Drosophila melanogaster: one gene and its partners. The gene in region 3 interacts genetically with the main gene of each other region. Each region holds a gene or a part of one and is shown on either strand. Other genes may lie near its edges.

The links.
Region 1: of E(z) (region 3) and Sirt1, changing one enhances a phenotype caused by changing the other (phenotypic enhancement), as found in Drosophila melanogaster (one study listed by BioGRID).
Region 2: of E(z) (region 3) and nej, changing one suppresses a phenotype caused by changing the other (phenotypic suppression), as found in Drosophila melanogaster (one study listed by BioGRID).
Region 4: of E(z) (region 3) and mxc, changing one enhances a phenotype caused by changing the other (phenotypic enhancement), as found in Drosophila melanogaster (2 studies listed by BioGRID).

The regions. Positions count from the first base shown.
Region 1 is NT_033779.5:13,163,933-13,170,079, forward strand, and holds Sirt1 (sirtuin 1), read left to right. Parts: upstream 1-1,631; 5' UTR 1,632-2,058; coding exon 2,059-3,268; intron 3,269-3,447; coding exon 3,448-4,709; 3' UTR 4,710-5,619; downstream 5,620-6,147. Other genes in the region: DnaJ-H (DnaJ homolog), read right to left, coding at 1-271, 384-830, 893-961. UniProt on the Drosophila melanogaster protein: NAD-dependent histone deacetylase involved in heterochromatic silencing. Mildly suppresses the heterochromatin-mediated silencing phenomenon known as position-effect variegation (PEV). Required for epigenetic silencing of the polycomb group proteins.
Region 2 is NC_004354.4:9,682,659-9,687,322, reverse strand, and holds the start of nej (nejire), read left to right. Parts: upstream 1-1,655; 5' UTR 1,656-1,773; exon of another isoform or gene 1,774-1,820; intron 1,821-3,171; 5' UTR 3,172-4,664.
Region 3 is NT_037436.4:10,634,075-10,639,801, reverse strand, and holds E(z) (enhancer of zeste), read left to right. Parts: upstream 1-1,922; 5' UTR 1,923-2,040; coding exon 2,041-2,162; intron 2,163-2,224; coding exon 2,225-2,956; intron 2,957-3,017; coding exon 3,018-3,178; intron 3,179-3,361; coding exon 3,362-3,376; intron 3,377-3,708; coding exon 3,709-3,806; intron 3,807-3,864; coding exon 3,865-4,054; intron 4,055-4,116; coding exon 4,117-4,686; intron 4,687-4,754; coding exon 4,755-5,164; 3' UTR 5,165-5,227; downstream 5,228-5,727. Other genes in the region: CG18628 (uncharacterized protein), read right to left, coding at 1-3; Cnep1r2 (CTD nuclear envelope phosphatase 1 regulatory subunit 2), read right to left, coding at 433-587, 1,102-1,248, 1,308-1,379, 1,477-1,498; CG34001 (uncharacterized protein), read right to left, coding at 5,230-5,535, 5,604-5,727. UniProt on the Drosophila melanogaster protein: Polycomb group (PcG) protein. Catalytic subunit of the Esc/E(z) complex, which methylates 'Lys-9' and 'Lys-27' of histone H3, leading to transcriptional repression of the affected target gene.
Region 4 is NC_004354.4:9,237,431-9,245,195, forward strand, and holds the start of mxc (multi sex combs), read right to left. Parts: upstream 6,038-7,765; 5' UTR 5,775-6,037; coding exon 5,729-5,774; intron 5,671-5,728; coding exon 5,503-5,670; intron 5,440-5,502; coding exon 5,265-5,439; intron 5,196-5,264; coding exon 4,895-5,195; intron 4,791-4,894; coding exon 824-4,790; intron 762-823; coding exon 59-761; intron 1-58. Other genes in the region: Larp7 (La related protein 7), read left to right, coding at 6,446-6,716, 6,777-7,765.

The DNA of each region.
Region 1 (6,147 bases), on a different chromosome or scaffold from region 3:
TGATCTCCAGGTCTCGCATGTACAGATTGGCATGGCGGCGCTGAAAGATTGGATGTTCCATCTGGGAGATGACTACAATCAGATCCCCAAATTCGCCGCCTCGCATTTGGTGGCCCTCATTTGCGAAGGGAACTTTTAGCATGTGCGGTGCTCCTCGCTCCACAACCAGGTCCCGCTTCATCTTCTGCTCTACGAAACCACTGCCCTGGCAGGGACTGCACTTCTTGTCGTCCCTTATGGTGAAGCCCCTGCCATCGCAAGTCGGACAGGTCTGCAAAAAAAAATAATTTAAATAATCTGCTCCGAAGTGTGGTATATGGGATCTCCACGGATGTGTGGTCCGCGGTGTGCATTCACTACAACTACAATCAATTCTTACATACCGTATCGAAGGGGCTGAGACCCATGAAGGTAAATGCGGCCGCTCGTCCAGCTCCGCCGCAGGTCTCGCAGCTCTCGTGCGCTTCCTTGGGACCGCCATCGCCGTTACACTTGGAGCACAGCTTCTGGCGATTGTACTCCACCTTCTTCTTCATGCCGCCGACGTAGATCTCCTCCAGGGTCAGCTCCACTTTTACCACGACTTTGCCATTGCGCCTGCCCCGACCTTCGGACGAGACTCGATCGAAGGGGAACCACTGGGCGAAGAATTCGGAGGCATCAGAGAATCCCTCGGCGCCCTCTTGCAGGCCCTTCAATCCATATCGGTCGTAGATGCGCCGCTTCTCGGGATCGGACAGCACTTCGTAGGCGAAGGATATTTCTTTAAACTTGTCGCCCGCATCGGGATTCTTGTCTGGATGGAACTCTTTTGCCAATTTTCGGTAGTTCTATTGGTGAAAAGGTGAATACAAACTATTTACCAACATATCGAATTGGAACTGTTACATACCTTTTTTATTTCCTCATCAGTTGCATCCGGAGCCACTTTAAGAACGTCGTATAAATTTAGGTTGTCCATTTCCTATTGCATCCCCAGTCCCCCTACAAACTAAAATATTTTGTACATTGTAAGTGTACGACTTATTAAATTATTTAACAATGTATTTATGACAATATTTTCAAGTCATATTGGCTAACAAGTATGCCCAAGTTCTACCAAAAACCTATAATTTTGGGGAAAGTACCAAATAAATACTTAAAATCGCAGCTTTTTTGGGGAACAGTAGACACTTGCTGGAACGTTCTGGAAATCTGTTTACACATTTTTGTATTTAACAGCTTGATGGAAGTTTTTGGACATATGAACTGCATATTATCAATACATCAATTTATAATACTACTATGAAATGTGTAAATATTGGACAAAAAAATTATTTTTACTTAATTGTTTAAATATCGAGTAAATTTGATAAGTAAAAGAGTGCTAAAATTAAAGTTCGAAGCATAATTTAAAATTAATTTTACTAACTTTTTGACAAATTATTGATATATTTTAAACAGTTTTTAAAGAAATGGATTAAATTAGATATGACATAAGGCAGTGGCCACTGTAGCAACACGTAATCACCCTCAAAAATCCCAAAAAATACTAAAAACATACCGTGATGAGTCATGCTGGCGGCACTTTCCATGCAGAAACGCGTTAGCACTTTCCACACGACGTGTCAGGGTCCCACCCGAATCACGTCTGCCAGCCCACATACACACACAGGCGCAGCTACGTGTGCCATCTTGCTTTTTTCATCGGAAAATTTTCCAGAAACTACGCTCGAAAATTACGAAAAAATCGCAACCAAATGGTGTCGAAATTTTTTTAAAATTTAAGTTTCGTGCATATACGTGAAATAAAGTCGGGTTGGTTGAAAAAATCGCGGCCAAACGATCGCTGGAGAATTTTTTCAATCAAGCCAAATGGGTGCGAAGCTGACGACGTAAAAATTTTTGTGTGTACCAACGAAAGAGCGGAGAAAACGGACGAGGCGAGAGCGCAAAGCGGAGAGACCGAGGAAACACTCGCGCAAGAAGAAGAAGAGCCAGCAACAGCACCAACTACGAGAGTTTTCTCTCCGTGAGTCTGTGTGTGTGCGCGTGTGCGCGCGCTTGGGTTCGGAAAAAATGATGGAAAATTACGAGGAAATTCGCCTGGGCCACATTAGGTCTAAAGATCTGGGCAACCAGGTGCCAGACACTACGCAATTCTATCCGCCAACTAAGTTTGATTTTGGCGCGGAAATTCTGGCCTCAACGTCAACAGAGGCAGAGGCAGAGGCAGAAGCAACAGCAACAACCACAGAACCAGCAACAAGCGAACTTGCTGGCAAAGCAAATGGTGAAATCAAAACAAAAACATTGGCTGCCAGGGAAGAACAAGAGATTGGCGCCAATTTGGAGCATAAAACCAAAAATCCCACAAAGTCAATGGGCGAGGATGAAGATGACGAGGAGGAGGAGGAAGAGGACGATGAGGAGGAGGAGGAGGACGACGAGGAGGGAATCACCGGAACGAGCAACGAGGATGAGGACTCCAGCTCAAATTGCTCCTCATCCGTGGAACCCGACTGGAAGCTGCGCTGGTTGCAACGAGAATTTTACACAGGTCGTGTGCCGCGCCAGGTTATTGCCAGCATTATGCCGCATTTCGCCACCGGCCTGGCGGGCGACACCGACGACTCCGTGCTGTGGGACTATTTGGCCCACCTGTTGAACGAGCCGAAGCGGCGCAACAAGCTGGCCTCAGTGAACACCTTCGACGATGTCATCAGTTTGGTCAAGAAATCACAGAAGATCATTGTGCTAACGGGAGCCGGAGTATCCGTCTCCTGCGGCATTCCGGACTTCCGGTCCACCAATGGCATATATGCGCGATTGGCCCATGATTTTCCCGATCTGCCCGATCCGCAGGCCATGTTTGATATCAACTACTTCAAGAGGGATCCACGACCGTTCTACAAGTTTGCCCGCGAGATATATCCCGGCGAGTTTCAGCCCTCACCCTGCCATCGTTTCATCAAAATGCTGGAGACCAAGGGCAAACTGTTGCGCAACTACACACAGAACATCGACACCCTCGAGCGGGTGGCAGGCATTCAGCGAGTAATCGAGTGTCACGGCTCCTTTTCAACGGCCTCGTGCACCAAGTGTCGTTTCAAGTGCAACGCTGACGCCCTGCGGGCGGACATATTTGCCCAGCGAATTCCGGTGTGCCCGCAGTGCCAGCCCAATAAGGAGCAGAGCGTGGATGCCTCGGTGGCCGTTACTGAGGAGGAGCTGCGCCAACTGGTCGAGAACGGCATCATGAAGCCGGATATCGTCTTTTTCGGCGAGGGTAGGTGCCATTTTTATACAGATTTATTATATATTATCAATAGCCTTGGTAAAATAAATGCAAGAATTTCAAATTCGACGATCAAAAGAAGTGTTTATTTAAGAGATAAACTATTGAAAATACAAAGTAACGCTATTTACCATATATCATATTGTGTTTGCTTTTCATATTGCCAACAGGACTGCCGGATGAGTACCACACGGTCATGGCCACCGACAAGGACGTGTGCGATCTACTGATCGTGATCGGCTCCTCGCTGAAGGTCCGACCTGTGGCCCACATTCCCAGCAGCATACCGGCCACGGTGCCGCAGATTCTTATCAATCGCGAGCAGCTGCATCACCTTAAGTTCGATGTGGAGCTGCTGGGCGACTCCGATGTGATCATCAACCAGATTTGCCACCGGTTGTCGGACAACGATGATTGCTGGCGGCAGCTGTGCTGCGATGAGTCAGTGCTTACCGAAAGCAAGGAGCTAATGCCTCCGGAGCACTCTAATCACCACCTCCATCATCATCTACTTCACCACCGCCACTGCAGTTCAGAGAGCGAGCGACAGTCGCAACTGGACACGGATACGCAGTCTATTAAATCAAATAGTTCGGCGGACTACATACTAGGATCAGCTGGCACCTGCTCGGATAGTGGATTTGAGTCATCTACTTTTAGCTGTGGAAAGCGTTCCACTGCCGCCGAAGCGGCAGCCATCGAACGTATTAAAACAGACATACTGGTTGAGCTGAACGAGACCACAGCCCTAAGTTGCGATCGTCTGGGCCTGGAAGGCCCTCAGACAACGGTGGAGAGCTATCGCCATCTTTCCATTGATTCCTCCAAGGATAGCGGCATCGAGCAGTGCGACAACGAAGCCACGCCTAGCTACGTGCGACCCAGCAATCTTGTTCAGGAGACCAAGACAGTGGCGCCCAGCCTGACGCCCATTCCACAACAGAGGGGAAAGCGACAGACAGCAGCCGAGCGTCTGCAGCCTGGAACATTCTATTCGCACACCAACAACTATTCGTATGTGTTTCCAGGAGCCCAGGTATTCTGGGACAACGATTACAGCGATGATGATGACGAAGAAGAGGAAAGATCACACAATAGACACAGTGATCTCTTTGGCAATGTGGGGCACAATTATAAGGATGATGATGAGGATGCATGTGATCTGAACGCCGTTCCATTGTCACCATTGCTACCGCCTTCACTGGAGGCTCACATAGTCACCGATATAGTGAATGGATCCAACGAACCGCTGCCCAACAGCAGTCCCGGCCAGAAAAGAACCGCCTGCATTATAGAACAGCAGCCAACGCCCGCTATTGAAACGGAAATTCCCCCACTAAAGAAGCGGCGACCAAGTGAGGAAAATAAGCAGCAGACCCAAATAGAAAGATCTGAGGAGAGTCCGCCTCCAGGACAGTTAGCAGCAGTGTAAACGTAATCTTAGCCCCTGCTAGTAGTGTAGTATTTATTTTAAATGCAATTCAAGCCAACTTGTAAACAGAGAAGCTGCGAAATCGTAGCCGAGGGCCATGTTACCAATTTCATTCCCCGGAAAGGTACTGGAATCGGAAACGGTAAACCGTTTACTTGTTATTTATTTAGAATATGAGAACACTTCAATTCCCGGTATCACGAAGTTTTCAAGAAATGAAACCGGATCCACTAGTTTACTCAATTCGAGGCTTTAGAGATCTGACCCTCGTTGCTTTACCACCAACCCCTTATGCCCAATCCCGTTTTGATATTTTTGAAAAACTCTTAGTTTATTTATTATCTCTCTTTTTCAAAACGAAACGCTGTAAATGTTAGTATTTTATTATATTAAGTTGTTATTGAGGCCTTTTTAGACAAACTAAAGAGATAAGCGGAAAGTTGAAAATCCTTTAGAAAGCAGGATTTCTTTGTATTCAAAGAGAAGCAGCGCCTCAACTTTAAATCTAGTTCTAAGCGTAACATATTCAAAACTATGCAAATGCAAACGGAAAAATACGTTAGTTTTAGTTAAAAACTAGACACAAACACTCTGTATATAAGCACTCGCCCCTAATTTGTATTGTACATGATTCTTTTTCTACTTTTTTGTGTTATCTCCTTACCATTTTATATTTCTATCGGTTATGGCAACTATTTTTTAACATTTATACACTCGCACCCACATCAAAATGTAACAGCGCATGGATTTCAAAATATTCATAAGAGTTGGAAATTTGGTGTGCGTGTTTGAAATGTTTATTCGAAACCTAGCATAAATATATAGCCACCAAACGCAGTGTAAACATAGCAGTAAGAATTTAGTCTATATGTCTTAAAAGTGTATTAATATCCAGAATATAAACCAATCTAAAAAAAAAAAAAACAGAAATGAAAATGAGTTTTGACTGTAGAGCACATATAAACCCAAAGAAAACCAACACATATAAAAGTTAGTCGGCGATATTTCAATACTTGCAATTTTGAATTCGGTTTTATTAAAGTATCTTGACATTAGCTGGTACCTTAGGGATATCTAAATACATATTTTATCATTAAGGTTGCCTTCTTCAAAAGTTTGCCTTACACCAATAATGCCCTCCTTGCAGAGATGTGTGACACCGGAACGAAGTTAACCGAAGGAGAGAGCGGCTAGTTAATCGTGGATCTTACAGACTAGGAGCGACTTCCAATCGCTCCGTTTACGACTGAAAGTTGAGGGCATGCTGCCTGGGTTATTTGCTTGCGCTTGCTTCTATATAAAATATGATATTCTTGGGTCCTATATAATCGGCGACGGCTTATTTTATGTACACTGTACAAGCCCATGCTATGCAATCTCCCCATATATTCATGTGAATACATGTGTTGCATGCATTGTTATTACTCTTATTTTTATA
Region 2 (4,664 bases), on a different chromosome or scaffold from region 3:
GAGTTTTATCAAATTGTAAAACCAAACTTTATATTCCAATTATTTTTAGGTTTTGAAACTCTTCAGTTCTTCATTCTGCATTGTTATTATAGCACGTTTCATCCATATAAATACACAAGATTAAAGGCAAATGACAATAATATCCGAAAAGATAGCTAGATAATGAATAATTACGCTTTTTAGCTACACAGCGGCCACAATGACAGCACTGTTCCTCGTACGAATGCTAACGTTAAGAAGAGGAAGAGACGAGCGGTGCTGGGTTGAAAAAAACTGGAAAAGGGGGGAAATTGGCGCAAATTGTGCACGCGAGGCGCAGCAGGGACGTTGGATCTTAACTATCGGTTTGTGTTCCTTACTTTGCGGCAAAATTAATGCAACCAATTGCCGATATACTGAGAAAAATGGCATAATTAAATAACCAGATCCAACGCATGTAGTGTAAAAAGTCGGGCATTATTCCCAATCGCAAAAGAGAGAGAATCGGTATCACTCGCTGACCCGTCTCGTTCGAGTCTTGATCGCGGTATCTCGCTTGCACCCACATACCGAGCGCCAGCCAGTCATATGGCCGTCCCGTTCATTTCGGTGACAACGTGTCGGTGTGTGTGCATCAGTGTGCAAGCTTATATGTGTGCGCTGTGTATCTGCAACAAACAACGGCGGCCGCTAACAAAAAAAATTGTAAATAAATACGCTGCCGTTCGACAGCGCGCGAAAATCGAAAAAGTGCTCGAAAAGTCAACGAAAGAGCGCCCCCAAAAGAATATAAAAAATTCCGCTAGCGGAAAGGGGGGAACAACAGAAGCAAGTGGGACATTTATTGAACAATTTGAAAATTAATTTGTTCTGTGCGTTGTTTGCATGACCACCGGTTCGTCGGACAAGGACGACGATAGTGTATCCTTCGGCGGCTGATTTTTCGGCTTGCCTCTCTCTCACACGTTCTCTTTGTCTCTCACGGCAAGAGCGAACGGAAAACACGCTAACACTGAACCCACCAGAGATGCGCAAATCCAATGACTCGATTACTTACGTGATCCTCTGTAAATATCGTTTTTCCTTTGAAGAACTTTAAACTAGATTTTTACGATGGACAAACGTTTTCAAAATTAATGTCTACAAATACTTTTTTAAACAAAAAATTCTAAACAACTGCACTCATTCAAGATGTTGATTTATTAATTCATATTAAACATCTTTTTGGAATACCTATTTGATCTCAAAAACGCTGCAAAGAATATTCATTTCATAATGATGTTGGTCTCCAACCAATGATGTTTCTTACAAAACTTCTTTGTGCACATTTTCAAGTGACCGCATAAAAGTATCGGCGAATGTGTCACCGTCATCATGTGGTCATCTCTGGACTCGCTGCTTCGTTATCTGGCGCGCCATATGTGTGCGCGTGTGTGCGTATCGGCTCTTTGGGAGCGCATGGCGTGAGCGGTCTCGCCGACGCAGAGAGCGAGGGACTAGAGCAAAACAGTGTTCCGACAGCGGTTAACAGCTGTTACGGGGCCAACAGACTGCTAGCAAAGGCATTTATATGGATTTCGGGTCGTAACAGTACGACAACAGCGGCCAAACAGCACGCGAGAGCGACGAGAGCCCACTCGCGTGTTGTGTTAAACAGTCAATTTTAGTGTATTTCCGAGCTCGGTGGTGTATTTGAACGGCTAGCCGCGGTCACACTGAAGCAAAAACATTTTTGGCTCGGAGAACGATTAACACAAGCGGACTGAAATTTTTTTGTTTTAGTGTTGCGAAAAAGTTTGTGGGATTTTTATAAAATCGCCGGAAAATGTGAAAAATATATGGTATAAAACCGAAATTCGGCAAAATTGCAAAGTATAGTTAGAAATTTAGTGCGTGGCAATCGGTGACGGTGGAAAAATAAAAATACCGGCCAAAATCGGGCTGAAATTTTTTTCAAATTTTCTACGGCATTTTCTTGAATTTCGTATTTTCGCCAAATATTTTTGCGATTTTTGTGTGGGCCGGGAAAAATGAAAAACGCTCTGGCGGAGACAACACAAAAAATTTCTGCAATAGAAACTTTGAAACGACGTGAAGAAGAAAACGAAACGAAAACGACGAACGAACACAGAAAAAAAATGGAATATATTTCTGTCGTCTGTTTTTCTTTCTTTTTCCAATGCTCCTCGCACTCGTTGCCGTTTACCGTCGTGTGTATATTGCACACTAATGCCGCTTGGCACTAATACCATCGCATGCTTTCTCTCTCGGACTCGTGCTCGCTCTTGCACGAACTCGCTGTTTTCGAAGTGTGCGTGTGTGTAACTGTGTGGTGAAAACGGCGTTGGCGTCGCTGTGAGAATTCTGTACGCGCGCCCCAAACCCCAAATGTGTGCGTGCGTGAGTGTGTGAAAGCTTTTGTCAGCCAGCCCCACTGCACTCTAGTGTCATCCCGCTCGCACCCCACTCGCCACTCGCCGCCCCAACAAATTGAATTTCATATGATGGCCGCTCGAATGCGGAAGCAAAACCAAAATACGGCCACTTTTTCGGCCATTTAATTTATAAACTAGACTATAGACTACAGCCGCAACTGGCTGATACTTCAATTAATTTTTTTAAGCAGTGCTCTGACTTTTATTACCTGTAAAGGTGTGAAATTTTTTTTCCAAAAATGTATTTGTCATAAAAATGTTAAGCATGTTTCAAAGTATATTTTTGCCAACGACGGCACTTGTTTTCCATATTTTTTAGGGGACTGGCGGCAAAATGAAATTATTATTTTCATTTTCGTGGTGTGCGCCAAAAGAGCGAGAGGCCAACACACACGTCTGCGAGTAAAATAACGAGTACAGCGCTGGTAGTATTGGCGAATAAAATTGCGAGGCAAGAACAGACAAGAGAGAGAGAGAGAGTGAGTGGTCGTCAAGCGGCACACAGATGAGTGCAACGAGACCGAGAGAATTCTCGGTACTGTTCTCGTTGTTCTTCCCTTTTCGCCCCGTCTTCGGCACGTCTCGTCGCATTTTAGTTTCGTTTTGTTTCCATTTTCCCCTCGGTTTCGCTGTCCACTCGCGCGCGGCTAAATTACAAAAAAGAAAGAAGAAAATAAATAAATATTGCTTTCGATTTGTGTTCGTCCATTCAACATAATCTAATAGGCTGTGTATTATTCTTCTTGTGCGTTTGCAGTTAATGTGTAATGCTAGAGCGGCAAACGTCGGCAGCAGCAGCAGCAGCAACAACATCAGCATCGACAAAAACAACAGCAGCGCGCCAGCAACAAAAACAAACCGAAACACAACAAACCCAACAACAGCCAACAATGTGAATTGCTTTTTTTTCCTTATTAATTGTAAACGATAACCGAATCAAGTGCAATCAAAATTAAACACAAGCATATATAATATATGGTCAAAATATCTATATATATATATATATATTCCTGTGTAACAAAAAGCCGCCAAAAACAAATCACATAAAATATGTAAGATAGCGGAGAAAAAGGCGGAAAGAAAAGGAAGAGAAAGAGGAGAGAGCCAAACCAAGAACCGTTCTTTTTCGCTCAGTGGAGGCAGGCAGGCAACAACAGACAAACAAACAAACAAACAATAACAAGAGCCGCCCAGCCAAGGTCAACTTTTGGTGTTTTTGGGGCCCAACAACACAAAATGCACGCGTGTGTCTGCTGCTGTTCGACAAACAACAATTGCAACAACGAGAACAACGACGGCAGCAGCAGCAGCAGCAGTAACCACAACAACAACGACAGCAGCATCAGCAGCAGCAGCAAAAACAAATTGCAGCTAAAAAAGCGCAGGGCCGAAGTCGAAGAAGAAGAAGAGGTACTGGTCAAGCGGACGCAGGATAAGAACAAGCATCAAGAGGAGCAGGAGCAGGAGGAGCACCAGGCGGTGGAAAAGTTGTCTGCTGGCCAAAGCGCCAGTGGCGGCGACAACGATCTCAACGGCGCCGCAACGAGAAGGCGGTGGTGGCTGCGCGATCCTCCAGGATCAGCGGAAGCGGCAGAAGGAGAGGGAAAAGGCGAAGGAGTGGAAGTGGGTGTGGGAGCAGAAGGATCAGCGGGCACAGGTCCGACGACGTGGTGGTGGTCAGCTCCATCCGTTGACGTTGCGGTGACGATAGCGCCGGCTACGTTGTTGCTGTCGTTGCAGCGGCAATTAGCAAAGGAATTATCTAAATCAACAACAACAACTGCAACAAGAACAACAACAGAAGCCACATCCTTAGCAATAAAAAGCGGAGCAGCAGCGTTAATATCATCATTAAGTGCAAGCATCGCCAACATCATCGATTACAAGATCCCAAAACACCAATACCAAAACCAAATCCCAATCCTCGCCAGCCACGCCTTTTGAGTGCCTCTTTGTGTGTTGTGTATTGTGCGTGCGTGTGTTGCAAAGTGTCCAAACTAATCAAGAAATCTACAACTTAAAACACTAAACACTTAACCAAACAAACAACCTGTGCAACAATTGTCAAAGTGCTAGGCGACAAATAATTTCTGAAAGAAGATTTGACAAGTTCCAATAACGAAAATATCAGAACACACTCGAACTCCAACATAGACGGATCATTGGAGAGTTAGTGAAAAAAAAAAGCGAAAAATCAGAAAAACTTTATAAACTAATAGAAACAATACTACTCAGATTTTTCGAACGTTT
Region 3 (5,727 bases):
CATGGTAAAGCTGGTTTGTTGTACAGATGGCTTGCTTGCTTCTGATGCCTTGGAACTGCACAGACTCCCTATTTATACAGAATGCGGCTCGATAAAAACCGCTCCAAATATACAAAAACACTTGTCGTTGCACAATTTGCGAGCAACTCGTTAGTTATAGATGAATTGATATTGAAATGTCGCTTGGTGTATTTGGCAGCGATGGGTAACGCCATTAACGAAACACATAAAGCTTAACAATTGATTTCTTTTCTTTTTGTTTTTTTGTACAAAGGAGCTTCTATAATTAAACAAAATGTGTAGGGGAGAAATAAGAGGTACTTTAAAAATACGCTTACAAAGCGAGGGTGTCCGAATCAACATGTAGGAAAAAAGAAAAGGGTAAGGGAACTAGCAATTAACTAAATAAACGTCCTGGAAGCTGGCCGGTGCTCATGTACTGTTGTTGTTACTTTGCCGCGGCTTGAGTATCAGCTTCCCCGTGTCGTCACAGCTCATATTAAAGTCTCCCAGTACCATTCGCGTTCTCGATGTAATTATTTGCGGAGCTATGACTAGTTTCTGTATGCCCAGGATGAACAGGACGACTGCGGAGAGAAATGATAAGGTTTACAAAATCAGTAAGTCAGTTTCAAACCAAAAAAATTAGATTAGATTAAATGGAAGTGTTTGTTAGCTGAAAATTCTTAATCAGTTGGACTATCAATATTGATATATACAAATCGAATTTGATAAAGCGAAGAGCTTTGACAAGATTAAAGGCAACCTAATGTTGCTAAAATTTGGAGAATGTACTTATGTAGTTTGCATAGATGTGATAGATATAAGGAGTGTATTCTACTCAAAATAACAGTAGAAATACCTAAAAATTTGAAATTCTTGATTTTGATCCTTTCTTTTTACCGAGTAGCCTGAGATAACCTGATATATAGTATCGACTTGCTCTACGATATGATTATATGGATTTAAATAGCATGGTATGGCTTGGTATTAAAATTATTCTCCATACTAGGTAGAATATCCGAGGTTCAATGACCGCCGCTGTTGACTACAAAAAGTGACCTATGTACGGAGTACAGTAGTGGCTACACCGATTCTTACCCAATGTTAGGGTGGCGACTGTGAAGACGGGATGAATCCAGAGGGACTCCGTTAGCGGTACAACGGTGGTGCGCGGATCGCGTAGCCAGTACCAGGCGCTGATGGCGGTGCACATGGACATGGCGGAAAGGACAACTGCAAGAAGCTCTATGGTTATTACGGATTGTAATGCTCCCTGGTGTTCTCATTATACGGATGCAACTTACTGCGCCAGCGGAACGTCGAGGGACGGTACGATGAAACCACTTCGGTGAGGCGCCGCTCGAAGGCCTTGAGATCTGCAGAGGAGCGAGGAAAACAAACCCAGTTATGGTTGGTAAACATAGTCAGTGGCTTGCGCGTTTTCCGGCTCTCTTTTGCCGGCGAGTTACATACCTTCGCAGGCTGACGGTTCCATTGCAGCTATTTCCTCAAAGCTCGTGGCCGTCTTAATGCGATTAAATTTGTCCAGTTTAAATATTATTGTATTTATTATTATTATTTGATGAGGTTCTCATAGCTTTCTTTTCCTCTTTTTATGTTTTTGATGACATTCCACGTTTGAGAGCACTGATAACGGGCTGCGTTTCTCAACACTACACAAAGCAGGGTCGTACCAAAGAGGGGCTCTTTGTTTATTTCCTACTTTCAGTACAAAATGGTTGTATAGCTAATTTAAAGTGAGTATTATATTTATGTATTATTTATATTATATTTATATTATTTTAATACAAAAATATCATAGTTTTTATTATAATATAAATATAATTAATGGCTTACCGGACAAATTAAGTACCCACTAAATGGTCTTCTACATACACCCATGTGTCTAAGTTATTCTTCCTGCAGTACAACGGTCACACTGCGGCAGCTGTTGCAAAAAAAGGCGGATAATATTTGTAGCAAAATCAGTGTTTTTTATACGTAAAATCAACAAATATAAAGTCCCTCGAAGGCATTATGAATAGCACTAAAGTGCCGCCCGAGTGGAAGAGGCGTGTCAAGTCGGAGTACATCAAAATCAGGCAGCAGAAGCGCTACAAACGTGCCGACGAGATCAAGGAGGCGTGGATAAGAAACTGGTAAGCGCGGGAGAGATGGTGGATGTCTGGGAATCGAAAATCTATGTACACATATCCTCCAGGGACGAGCACAACCACAATGTACAGGATCTGTACTGCGAGTCGAAGGTTTGGCAGGCTAAACCCTACGATCCGCCGCATGTGGACTGTGTGAAGCGGGCGGAGGTGACTAGCTACAATGGCATTCCCAGCGGTCCGCAAAAGGTGCCCATTTGCGTGATCAACGCGGTCACTCCCATACCCACCATGTACACGTGGGCACCAACACAGCAGAACTTCATGGTGGAGGATGAGACGGTGCTGCACAATATACCCTATATGGGCGACGAGGTCCTCGATAAGGATGGCAAGTTCATAGAGGAACTGATCAAAAACTACGATGGCAAGGTTCACGGCGACAAGGATCCCTCGTTCATGGACGATGCCATCTTCGTAGAACTGGTGCACGCCCTTATGCGCTCCTACAGCAAGGAACTGGAGGAAGCCGCTCCGGGTACAGCGACTGCCATTAAAACAGAGACGTTGGCGAAATCAAAACAGGGCGAAGATGATGGGGTAGTTGATGTTGACGCAGATGGTGAATCTCCCATGAAGCTTGAGAAAACCGACAGCAAAGGGGATCTGACTGAAGTTGAGAAGAAGGAAACTGAAGAACCGCTGGAGACTGAAGATGCGGATGTTAAGCCCGATGTGGAAGAAGTCAAGGACAAGCTGCCCTTCCCTGCGCCCATTATTTTTCAGGCCATCAGCGCTAACTTTCCAGACAAGGGCACCGCGCAAGAGCTCAAAGAAAAGTATGTAATTTGATAACCAGGTTAGTAAATATCCCTTCTTACGGCTTTTTCTTTTTGCTAGGTACATTGAGCTTACGGAGCACCAGGATCCGGAGCGCCCACAGGAGTGCACACCCAACATTGACGGCATCAAGGCCGAGAGCGTTTCCCGGGAAAGGACTATGCACTCCTTTCACACGCTCTTCTGTCGTCGTTGCTTCAAATACGACTGCTTCCTGCACCGTAAGTTAAACGATGGGAACTGCTGCCAGCTGGGTTACCTAATGACTTTACGTTTTGTTTTTGCTTTTCTTTTCTTGTTTGGAAACAATATTATCTTACCAAAAAACACAAATCTGTACCATTTCTTAAACCCCCAAAAAAAAAAACGAAATTCCAAAATGTATTGAATTAATTGCAATTTAGGTCACCATGTGCAGGGTGAGTCGTTGTTGTAGTTGTTGTTTCGATAACCACACGCACACACTCTCATGCCGTTTGCCCGTCAACGCCTCCGCATCCTCATCTCGCTGTCTATGAATATAATTTTTATAATAACCCATATCGGTGGATAATTTGGCTATGTTTGTCATGTGTCTAAATTGACCCCTCGGTGTTGCTCACCTCATTTTCGTGTGGCTTTGGCTGGACCATTTCTCTCTATCTCTTCAAATGTAACCGATTACCCTCATGCTAATCCAAAAGCGTTTCATAGACATCAAGTGATTTTCGCCCGATTGAGTTATTCTAATCCCGCTGCTCTGTGTTCACAGGCTTGCAAGGACATGCGGGTCCCAATCTCCAGAAGCGTCGCTATCCGGAACTGAAGCCTTTCGCCGAACCTTGCAGCAACTCCTGCTACATGTTGATCGTAAGTTGGATGCACTTTATAAATTTAAATGGTATTTTAATTCTGTTATATGCTGCAGGATGGCATGAAGGAAAAGCTGGCGGCCGATAGCAAGACACCTCCCATTGATTCCTGCAATGAGGCCAGCTCCGAGGACAGTAATGACAGCAACAGTCAGTTTAGCAACAAGGACTTTAATCATGAGAATAGCAAGGATAATGGCCTGACTGTAAATAGCGCCGCTGTGGCTGAGATCAACTCCATTATGGGTCAGTTTTAAGTTAGCAGATTGGTTGGACCATGTGTTAAATATTTCACTTTTTCTCACCAGCTGGCATGATGAACATCACCAGTACGCAGTGCGTTTGGACAGGCGCTGACCAAGCACTTTATCGGGTCTTGCATAAAGTGTATTTAAAGAACTACTGCGCGATTGCGCACAACATGCTGACCAAGACCTGTCGTCAGGTGTACGAGTTTGCCCAGAAGGAGGATGCTGAGTTTAGCTTCGAGGATTTGCGACAGGACTTCACACCTCCGCGCAAGAAGAAGAAGAAGCAACGTCTGTGGTCGCTGCACTGTCGTAAGATTCAGCTAAAGAAGGACTCATCCTCGAATCACGTGTACAACTACACGCCCTGCGACCATCCCGGACATCCATGCGACATGAACTGCTCCTGCATTCAGACACAAAACTTCTGCGAAAAGTTCTGCAACTGCAGCAGCGATTGCCAGAATCGTTTCCCCGGCTGTCGCTGCAAGGCTCAGTGCAATACGAAGCAGTGTCCTTGCTATCTGGCAGTGCGCGAGTGTGATCCCGATCTGTGCCAGGCCTGCGGAGCGGATCAGTTTAAGCTGACCAAGATCACGTGCAAGAACGTGTGCGTGCAGCGAGGACTGCGTAAGAAACCTTCTTATATATCCATATTGGTCTTCGCCACTGTCAACTAATTTAATCTTCAATTGCAGACAAGCACCTGCTCATGGCTCCGTCTGACATCGCCGGCTGGGGCATCTTTCTTAAGGAGGGTGCGCAAAAGAATGAGTTCATTTCGGAATATTGTGGCGAGATCATATCCCAAGATGAAGCCGATCGCCGTGGCAAGGTTTACGACAAGTACATGTGCTCATTTCTTTTCAATCTGAACAACGATTTTGTTGTGGATGCCACTCGGAAGGGCAACAAGATTCGGTTTGCCAATCATTCCATTAATCCCAATTGCTATGCCAAGGTTATGATGGTCACCGGCGATCATCGCATCGGCATCTTTGCCAAGCGGGCCATTCAGCCCGGCGAAGAGCTATTCTTTGACTACAGATACGGACCCACGGAGCAGCTGAAGTTCGTGGGCATAGAGCGTGAAATGGAAATTGTTTGATAACGAGTCTACTTATGAAAATCGTATCATACAAATTGAATAAAACTATATTTTTGAAAACACACCTAAACGGATTTAGCTACATTGGCTATAATTGGTTTGGGTCGCGATTTGAAGATTAATTTTTTGGTGCAAACGGCGCGCACAGTGTACTCCGTTCTTTGGCGACTCTTGTGCTCCTGGGCGATCGTATGATCCAGCACTGTGCGCTCCGCTCCCGTGGTGGCGTTCAGCATACTGACATCCTGCGAGGCCATGCTCGTTTCTAGGAGTCGTTCTCCCTCATTGGTCTTGGACTTTTCCAGCACCGCAAATGGTTTATCCAACTTTTGTTCACGTCCCTGAAGAATGTGATGTCCAATGATGAGAATCTTATGATATAAGTAAAATCAGATTGTTTAAGAGCTGGTTAAATTATAACTTTACAATTACAACTCACAGGTTGGCCATATTTATTGTAGTAGAGATCGCCAATAAACTGGCCGTGCATATCCTGGTTGCTCCGCACCTCCAGGTCGCCTTGCAGCTCTATAATGGCCCAATCGCCTTTGCCAGCGTTTTGT
Region 4 (7,765 bases), on a different chromosome or scaffold from region 3:
ACGGTATTATTATTATGATAAGCATACAAAAAATAAAATGCATATGTTCACCACTTACATGGTGGCCACCTCCAGATCTTCCTCATCTTGCGGCCCACTCCTGGATGGGGGCTTCTCCACCAGCGGCGTAGACGTGGCCGAAGGCTGTTCGCCAGCAGCAGCAACTTCCGCTCCCGTTCCACTTCCTCCACTTACACTTGCACTTCCCCCTGTTGCCGCTGTCCCGCCACTATTGCCGGTCAGGCGGCGTATCCGCTTCTTGGGTATATTGCGAATGGCGCTGGCCACCGGTTGGCCCAGACAGAGCACCTGGGCACTGGCTATGCGCAGCGTATGCAGCTGTTCGTCATCGGTCATCAAGCGCATCTGATAGCTTTTGAAATAGCTCGATGGCTGACGTATCATCGGATTGCTGGACTTTGGTCCGTTGTCCGCATATGTGAAATTATAGGTAAAACGCTCCTGGCTGCTGCTCAGGCACATGTCCTGCTCGAAGTCGCTGTCATCGGGCTCCGAATCGCATTTCGATGGCGGTGGATCCTGTTTAGGTTCTTGTATTGTTTGCTGAATTTGCGGCTTTTGCTTTGGAGATTTTTGGGTGGATTCCGCCTCCGCTACAATGGGCAGTGCCGGAGCATCGGTTGTGGAGGAGGGTACCCTTGCCTCGACACGTTTCTTGGCCGGTTTCTTGGTATTTGCCTTGATTTGGGTCTTCGTCTTTGCTCCTTCAGTGGATTTGGAGAGATCTTCCGGAGCAGGAGCTAGTTTTGCAAAGACAATATATTAGTTTCAATACCCATTCGATTGGATCTTAACTACTTACTTTTATTTTCGACTAGGCGCGAGGATCGTCGCATACAGAGATTGGCTGGCTCCCCGTTCTGTACCTTTTTCGGGCGTCCACGTTTTCCAGGGGCAGGCTGTGCCGCAATTTCAACCGCTGCTCGATTTACCTTTGGTTTGATTACAATCGGTAATGATTCCTGTTTTTTCGCAGATAGATTGAGGGCCATGAGCAGAGCGGGATCCAATTTGCCGGCTGGCGGATCTGCTGGCGCATCTGTGGCGGCACCGACTGGCGGACCAGTAGCCTCTGTGGACTTAACATTCGGATTTGGTTCTATTTGCTTTTTAGCTGCTTTTGTTTTCAGTGGTTCGATGTGCTTTCGATTTTTTGGCGATTTTTGACTGCTTGGATTGGCCAGTTTGGCATTTTCACGCATTGCAGTGAGCTTCTTGTTGGCAGTCTTTCTCCCTTGACCTTTGATCGGTTGGGGTTGCTCCTTAAACTTGGCCACTACACGTTGGCGTTTTTCATTCAGCTGCTGGCGTTGGTGTTCCTGACGGCTTGTAGAGGCCGTTGGAAGAGCGACGGATGAAGGATCGTCCGCCTCTGGCGGAGGCGGTGGAGGCGGCGGAGGAGCAGCTGGCGGTGTTAGAGGAAGCGGCGGAGGCGGAACAGGAGCAGCCACCGGTTTAGGAGGTGTAGGTTTTGTTTGCTGTTCTCCACTGGTATCCGTCTCCTGGGCCTGCTCTTTGCTTGGTGTCAGCCAATTCCGGATAGGATAGCGGACCTCCCCGTCCTGGCTAACTAACTGACCTGGCTGACTGTCGATAGCAAGCATGGGCAGAACTGCATCCTCAGAACCGGCTGCCTTCAGCCACTCTTCGTCTTCCGTGCTGCTAATGTTCGATAAGTTATCTATGTTTAGTAGCATCTCCTTTTTCTTGCTGCACTTTTCGTCGGCATTCTCGCCATTTGCCTCTTCCCCTCTGCTTTCCCCCTTTCCGCTGTGAGAACTTGACGAGGATGAGGAACTCGATGATGAACTACTGGAGGAGCTTGAGCTCGAACTGGATGAGGACGATGAACTGGTTGCCGAGGAGCTAGAATTACTAGATCCTTCAATAATTGCCTCGGGCAGGCCAGGCAAAAGTTTATAGTGCGGAAGCTGCTGCTGATCGGAGGGAAATGAGCCAGCTGTAGCGGACTCCGCACTGTCCACCGCCTCACTGCCAAAGGATCGAACGCGTCGAAGGACGGTGGGCTCCAAGGACAGGACAACGGGTTGCTTCACAGCATCTGGTGTCTTTTCTAAAACCGTTTCATTCTTTTCACCATCGTTTTCAGTTTCCTTCAGATGTTCATCCATTGGCTTCTCTGGTCTTTTCGGTGTTTTCTTATTGTCCTCAGCATGTTTGTCCTCCGGATGAAGGCTTTTCTTTGAACACTCCATTTCTATTAGCTCTTGATTCTTCTGTTGCGAAAGCTCATCCTCTGCCTCAACCTTTTTCTTCTTGGGCGTTGACCGAACCTTGGGTTGTTTCTTATCCTGCGGATCACCCCACTGTTGTATTGCGCACTGCGCATTCGCATCGGTGTGTTCCGCTTCATCCGGACGATAATAGGAACTGCCTGAAGAGTACTCAGTCTTGGCAGCACTGCCTATCGGAGTACCGGGCATCTGTCCAAAAGGTGTCAAGCGAAATCCAGGTGTGATGGCACTCAACTGGGGCGTATCCATAATACTTTTGGTATCCGAACCAAAGAGAAAGCTGCTACTGGGCAACTTGCCATATGGCGTGTCCAGAGGTGGAATGGCCATTCCTGGCGTGGGTGGGATGATAGCGGCTACACCAACACCAGCTTCCTTTGATGTGGTGTCATCTTCTACGGCTCCGCTTGCTCCTGCTCCAATGGGAGATGCTTTAAACGGAGTGTCCAGAAGCATGGCCATGTTGGGTCGCGACAGTTCTGCCGCTAAGGCCTTCGCTTGCTCCTGATCCTTTGCATATATGCATCCTTGTTCACTTTTCTTCTTCTGATCCTTTTCCTCGATCTCCGCTTGGGTTTCGTCTATGGTTTCTTCTATGGTTTCGTCTATGATTTCTTCTTTTGCCTCAAACACCTTCTTTTTCTTCAGGAGCTTTGGTTTCTGAGGAGTGATAATCTTGATGTTGATCTTCTCAGTGGAATCCCCAACACTGCGCTGCGGTTTCTTTGCCAGATTCATGGGCTCCGCCTTCGCTTTGACCATTGGAGCCTTTCGTGCTCTCGACGAAGCTGAAGTGGGTGTATCTTTCTTCTTTGGACGCCTCGAGCGGCCGGAGGCCTTTACCTCCTCGCGCTTGGAGTTAATCTCACGCAGCCGATTTTCAAGGTCAGAATTGGAGCCATGCAACTGGCGCTGCCAGGCGGCCATATCGTTATCTACAACTGCGTCTCCTCTGGCGGCGGAGCCTACATCTGGCTTTCCTTCAATCTTCTGCTGCTCCTGGAGATTCTCTTTGCTGGCCTCGGCGCTGTCATCGTGAGCGGTCGACGATGCGCTGCAGGCAGAGTTATTTTTGGGCATAATTTTCTTTTGATCCTTATCCGTCTTGGTTTCCGATTCCGCCTGGGAGATGATTCGCTTGCAGGCCTTGACCGCTGCTTGTCGCTTCTGTTTTCTTTTGGGCGTGGCCACCAACGGAGGAACCGGAGCTGCTGACGGAGCGGCAGCTGGAGGATGGGCCCTGATCACCGTCTGATTGCTGCACTCCTCCATGGCGAAGAGTGGTGGCACTCCTCCAAGGCCCTCGTTTGAGCTCAGGTCGCAGGCGGCCTGGATGATCTCCACATGGTTGATAATTGGCTTCTCTTGGGCTTTGGCCAGCAAACCAGGTCGCCTAGTGGACAGCGGCGTATTGGAATGCAGGACGCCACCAGGAGGAACCTTAGGGGAAAAAGTTAATGTTCGTACATGCGAAGTTCTCTTTCGGGGAGTGGATAAGCTACGAAAGGCCTTTACGTTAATTATTCCCGACGTCGAGGGTGTCACTCTCTCCATGACTTGTCTAGATGAATCCAGGGATGCGGGTGGAAACTTTCGCTGCTCCTCCTCTAGTTGATCTATCGGTTGCTCTTTTGCCGCCGTTCCCTGGCCCGCCTTGTTGTCCACTTTGGCTGCATCTTTTATCAACTGGACTGGAGGCTCCACGCTTGGGGGAGGTGGTTGTTTCTGGGCGCTGCTAATGATAATGGAATTGGGGGGCAGCTGATTGGCAGACAGAGTAATCGGCTCCGGCAGCGATATCTCAATGTGCGAGTCATCAATGTTGGCAAAGGCATCCGGCCCAAGTTGCTGGGCTACCCACTCGTTGTTCACCAGGAATGGAAGATGCGACAGCAGTCCACCGTTCGAGAGGTACATGGGAAACGTCAGCTGCCCGGTGGTGGCGTCCACACAAACCTGACCAGCAGCTGTCGCCTCCACCTCGCTGAGCATTGACGCTGGATCGGCAAAATTTATATTGAGGCCTTCGCTTGTAAAGCTGATATTGGACGTATCCAAACCAGCAACCATTTTTTGGACACTCTCGTTGGAGTTCAGTACGATAAGCTTGGAGATGGAGAAATTGGGATCTGCATTGGTTCCTGCGGTGGCTGCAACGGCGGTGCGAATAATAAGCGGTGTTTGCGGCGGCACGGGATCCACGGCCTGTTCTGTCGGCAGCACATCTCCATCAGCAGCGGGAACAATAGCAGCCCCAGCAGCATCAGAGGCAGGCGACACACCAGGGTCCTCCTCATTTGCCAATGGTTCATCCCCGATCACCACCTCCTGTATGATGCGATCGAACGAGGGATCCTTCTCGGTGGCCTCCAGTATGTTCTTCACTAGACCATCCAACATGGCGTCACAGCTTACCGACGGATTGTTAACAGTCACCGTCTGCAGCGCTACGTTAATATTCTTTACCAGCGTCTCCTGGAAGTCCTGATTCTTAATTATCGCGCAGGCCAGTTCCTGAAATCAATGTAAATCGAAAGAGTGTTTTTTGTTTAGAATACATAATAGATGCACTATTGGTTAATTAAGCAGATATGCATTAAGCATGTCTATGGACTTACAGGCATGCTTTGCGGCGTGAGCAGAAGTGGATTGGACTCGGTATGACCTTGGCGCGGCGTGGAATTGTTGCGCGGACCAGGACCATTCGCCGGAAGTAAGTCATCCTCCTCCAAGTCCTCGGTGGCCGTTGTGCTCTCGCCATCCTCTTCGTCCAGTTCCGCCTCGCAGTCATCCTGGCTGCCTAGGAAACTCTGCCTGACCTTGTCGCGGTTAACGCTGCAGTAGAAGTGTGGCGGCAGCAGACGCGGTCGCTTGCTAAACGAAGGCGAAGAAATGCTGTTCACGGGAGAATGGGTGCGCCTGGGGAAAAGGGGTAAGAGAGCAATGAGAATTCCGATGTGCTTGTGTCAAGGAAAAATCTATAATTACAAGCGCCTTCTCTTGCGATGCGACTGTGATATGGTGGGCTCGCCTGGGGTGCTGCTTTCATTGGTACAGCTACTCCTCTCGCCGGCGGCTATCAGTTCGCTGACCCGTTCGGACAGCTTCATCTGCTGCAGCTGCATACGCATATCCAGCGGCAGCTTCTGCACGGCACCGGCCACTGAAAAGAGAGATTTTCGGTCAGCCGCAAAAAAAAAGAAACGCAAGGAGCGTGCTAATTTACCCAAGCTTGTGATCTTGACATGCTCGCAGATTATCTCCTCCAGACCCCCGTGAAGGAAGTTGTGCGTCTGCAGGCCCTGTTTAAGGGCCAGGAACTCGTGGCGCAGGTGAGGCGATGTGCGACACAGAGTGTGTGCGGCCCTTTTTAGATTCTGGTTGACTAGGTAGCCTACAAAATGGAAGAGCATAAATATTGCGAGCTAGAAAAGCGTCCAGGGAAAACCTACCCAGGACCAAGCGAGCCACGTCCGAATGCAGGACAATCGACTCCATGGCTGGACTTTCCGACTCAGCTAAGCGTCACCATCCACTCGCTTTTCGCCTTGCCTTTCTTTTTTTTTTCGCTTGCAAGACTTTAGGTTTATCGAACGCACTTGTAATGCCTTATTATTGACTGTTGCAGGTTTAATCACTCAATAGTTAGTCGGAATTGAATCAGCGCTTTAATTCGAGAGAGAATAAACCATTTTCTCGCCTATTCGCCGACTATTTTCGTTTTGTTGTTGCCGATTCTAGCGGCGCACTGTACAACACACATAGGTTAGCATAGCATCTGTGTTTTTTTTGCCGCCCGCCAAAACAACGCAGTAGGGTTGCCACAGCGCCGAACTATCGATATAGTCCCGTTGTTTGCGCTTGGCTGCCAAGCCTTATTAGGAGCGTGGGAAATAATGGTAATAATTAAAGCAAAGAAATACGTCTCTTTCGCTTAAAACAAATTATAGCAGTTTTTATTGCTTTGATGGTCTTGCTTCAATTCGTTTTTATGTGTACGTTACAGTACTTAGAATCCGATATTCGTTAAACTATCGATATGGGAATGCTGCAAATACCTGGCATCCCAGCAATTCATAACTAGACGGCGTTGCCAAATAGATCAGAACGCAAAAACCAAGTGCAATATTTTATTCGAGTGACTTAGATTACTGGTTAACTGGCACTCAATGGCTGCCAAGAGTATCGAGAAGGAGAAGGGCGAGGGTCAGGAGCCCGCGACATCAGCGGAGAAACCCGATCCAGCCGCACCCACTGAACCAGCTGAGGAAAATTCCAAAGAACCGGCGCCGGAAGACGCATCGCCGGATAAAAAGGATGGTGGACGCAAAAGGAAGAGGCATTTGTTCAATTCGATTCGCGGTCAAATGGAATTCTACTTCGGTGACGCCAACTTGAGCAAGGATCGCTTCCTTCGGCGCTACGTAGAGCAGGATCCATGTGAGTAGCTAAGGTTGGCTCACCAGCCAACATAACACTGATCATGTTATTCTTTTACAGATGTACCATTGGAAATCTTTCTCACTTTCAATAAGATAAAGACGCTCACCCAGGATGTGCAGCAGATAGCCAAGGCACTAAGCAACTCCCAGCTTCTGGAGCTGGATGAGACCGAACTAAAGGTCAAGCGACGTACCAAGCTACCAGATCAGCGCGATGTCAACGACAAAACCTTGTATGTAGAGGCCCTGCCTGCAAATGCCACTCACGATTGGCTGAAGGAGGTATTCAGCCGCTACGGACCGGTGGCCTACGTGTCCCTGCCCCACTATCCGGGCACTAAGAAGATCAAGGAATTTGCCTTTATCGAGTTCGAAAAGAGCGGGTCCTTGGAGAAAGCTGTGAAGGCTTTTGCCCAGATACAGGGCGTTTTGTCCGTAGAAACCGATCCCAGTGATCTGGCCAGTGTGCGCTCCTTTCAGCAGCAGCAGCAGATACAACAGAAAGCGGAGCAGCCGCAGTCAGAGGCTGAACAGGTTGAGTTGCCAAAGCGAAATCTAAAAAGGGAGGCCACCGACAAGGATCGCGAGGAGATACACGAGGTGAAACGGGTTAAGTTGGAGGAGGGCCAGCCTAGCGAGACCTCTACAGCTGGGGAAACAGCGAGTGAAACGGATGCAGAGGGCACAGCCGAAGCCTCCGAGCAGGAGGACAAAACAGAGGCAACCGATGGCGATGAAGCTGCCAAAAAGCGCCGTCGCAAGCGCAAGAAGAAGGCGATCGTGGACAAGCCAAACATTGAGCCCAGTGCCCTGGAGCTCAAGGTGCTACCCAAGACTAGTTGGAGCAGTATGCGCAATAAGTACTTGAATCTACAGCGTCGCATCGTCAGTGAGGCAAAGAGCAAGCTGTGGCGAGAAAATCACCCACAAAATCAGCAGCACCCTCACCACCAGCAGACCAGTCATCCAAACCATCCGAAACCTTCACAGCTGCCCGAGGCAGTTAAAGAGGAGGAAACCGGAGGCGAGGTCCCTAGCGATGGCGGT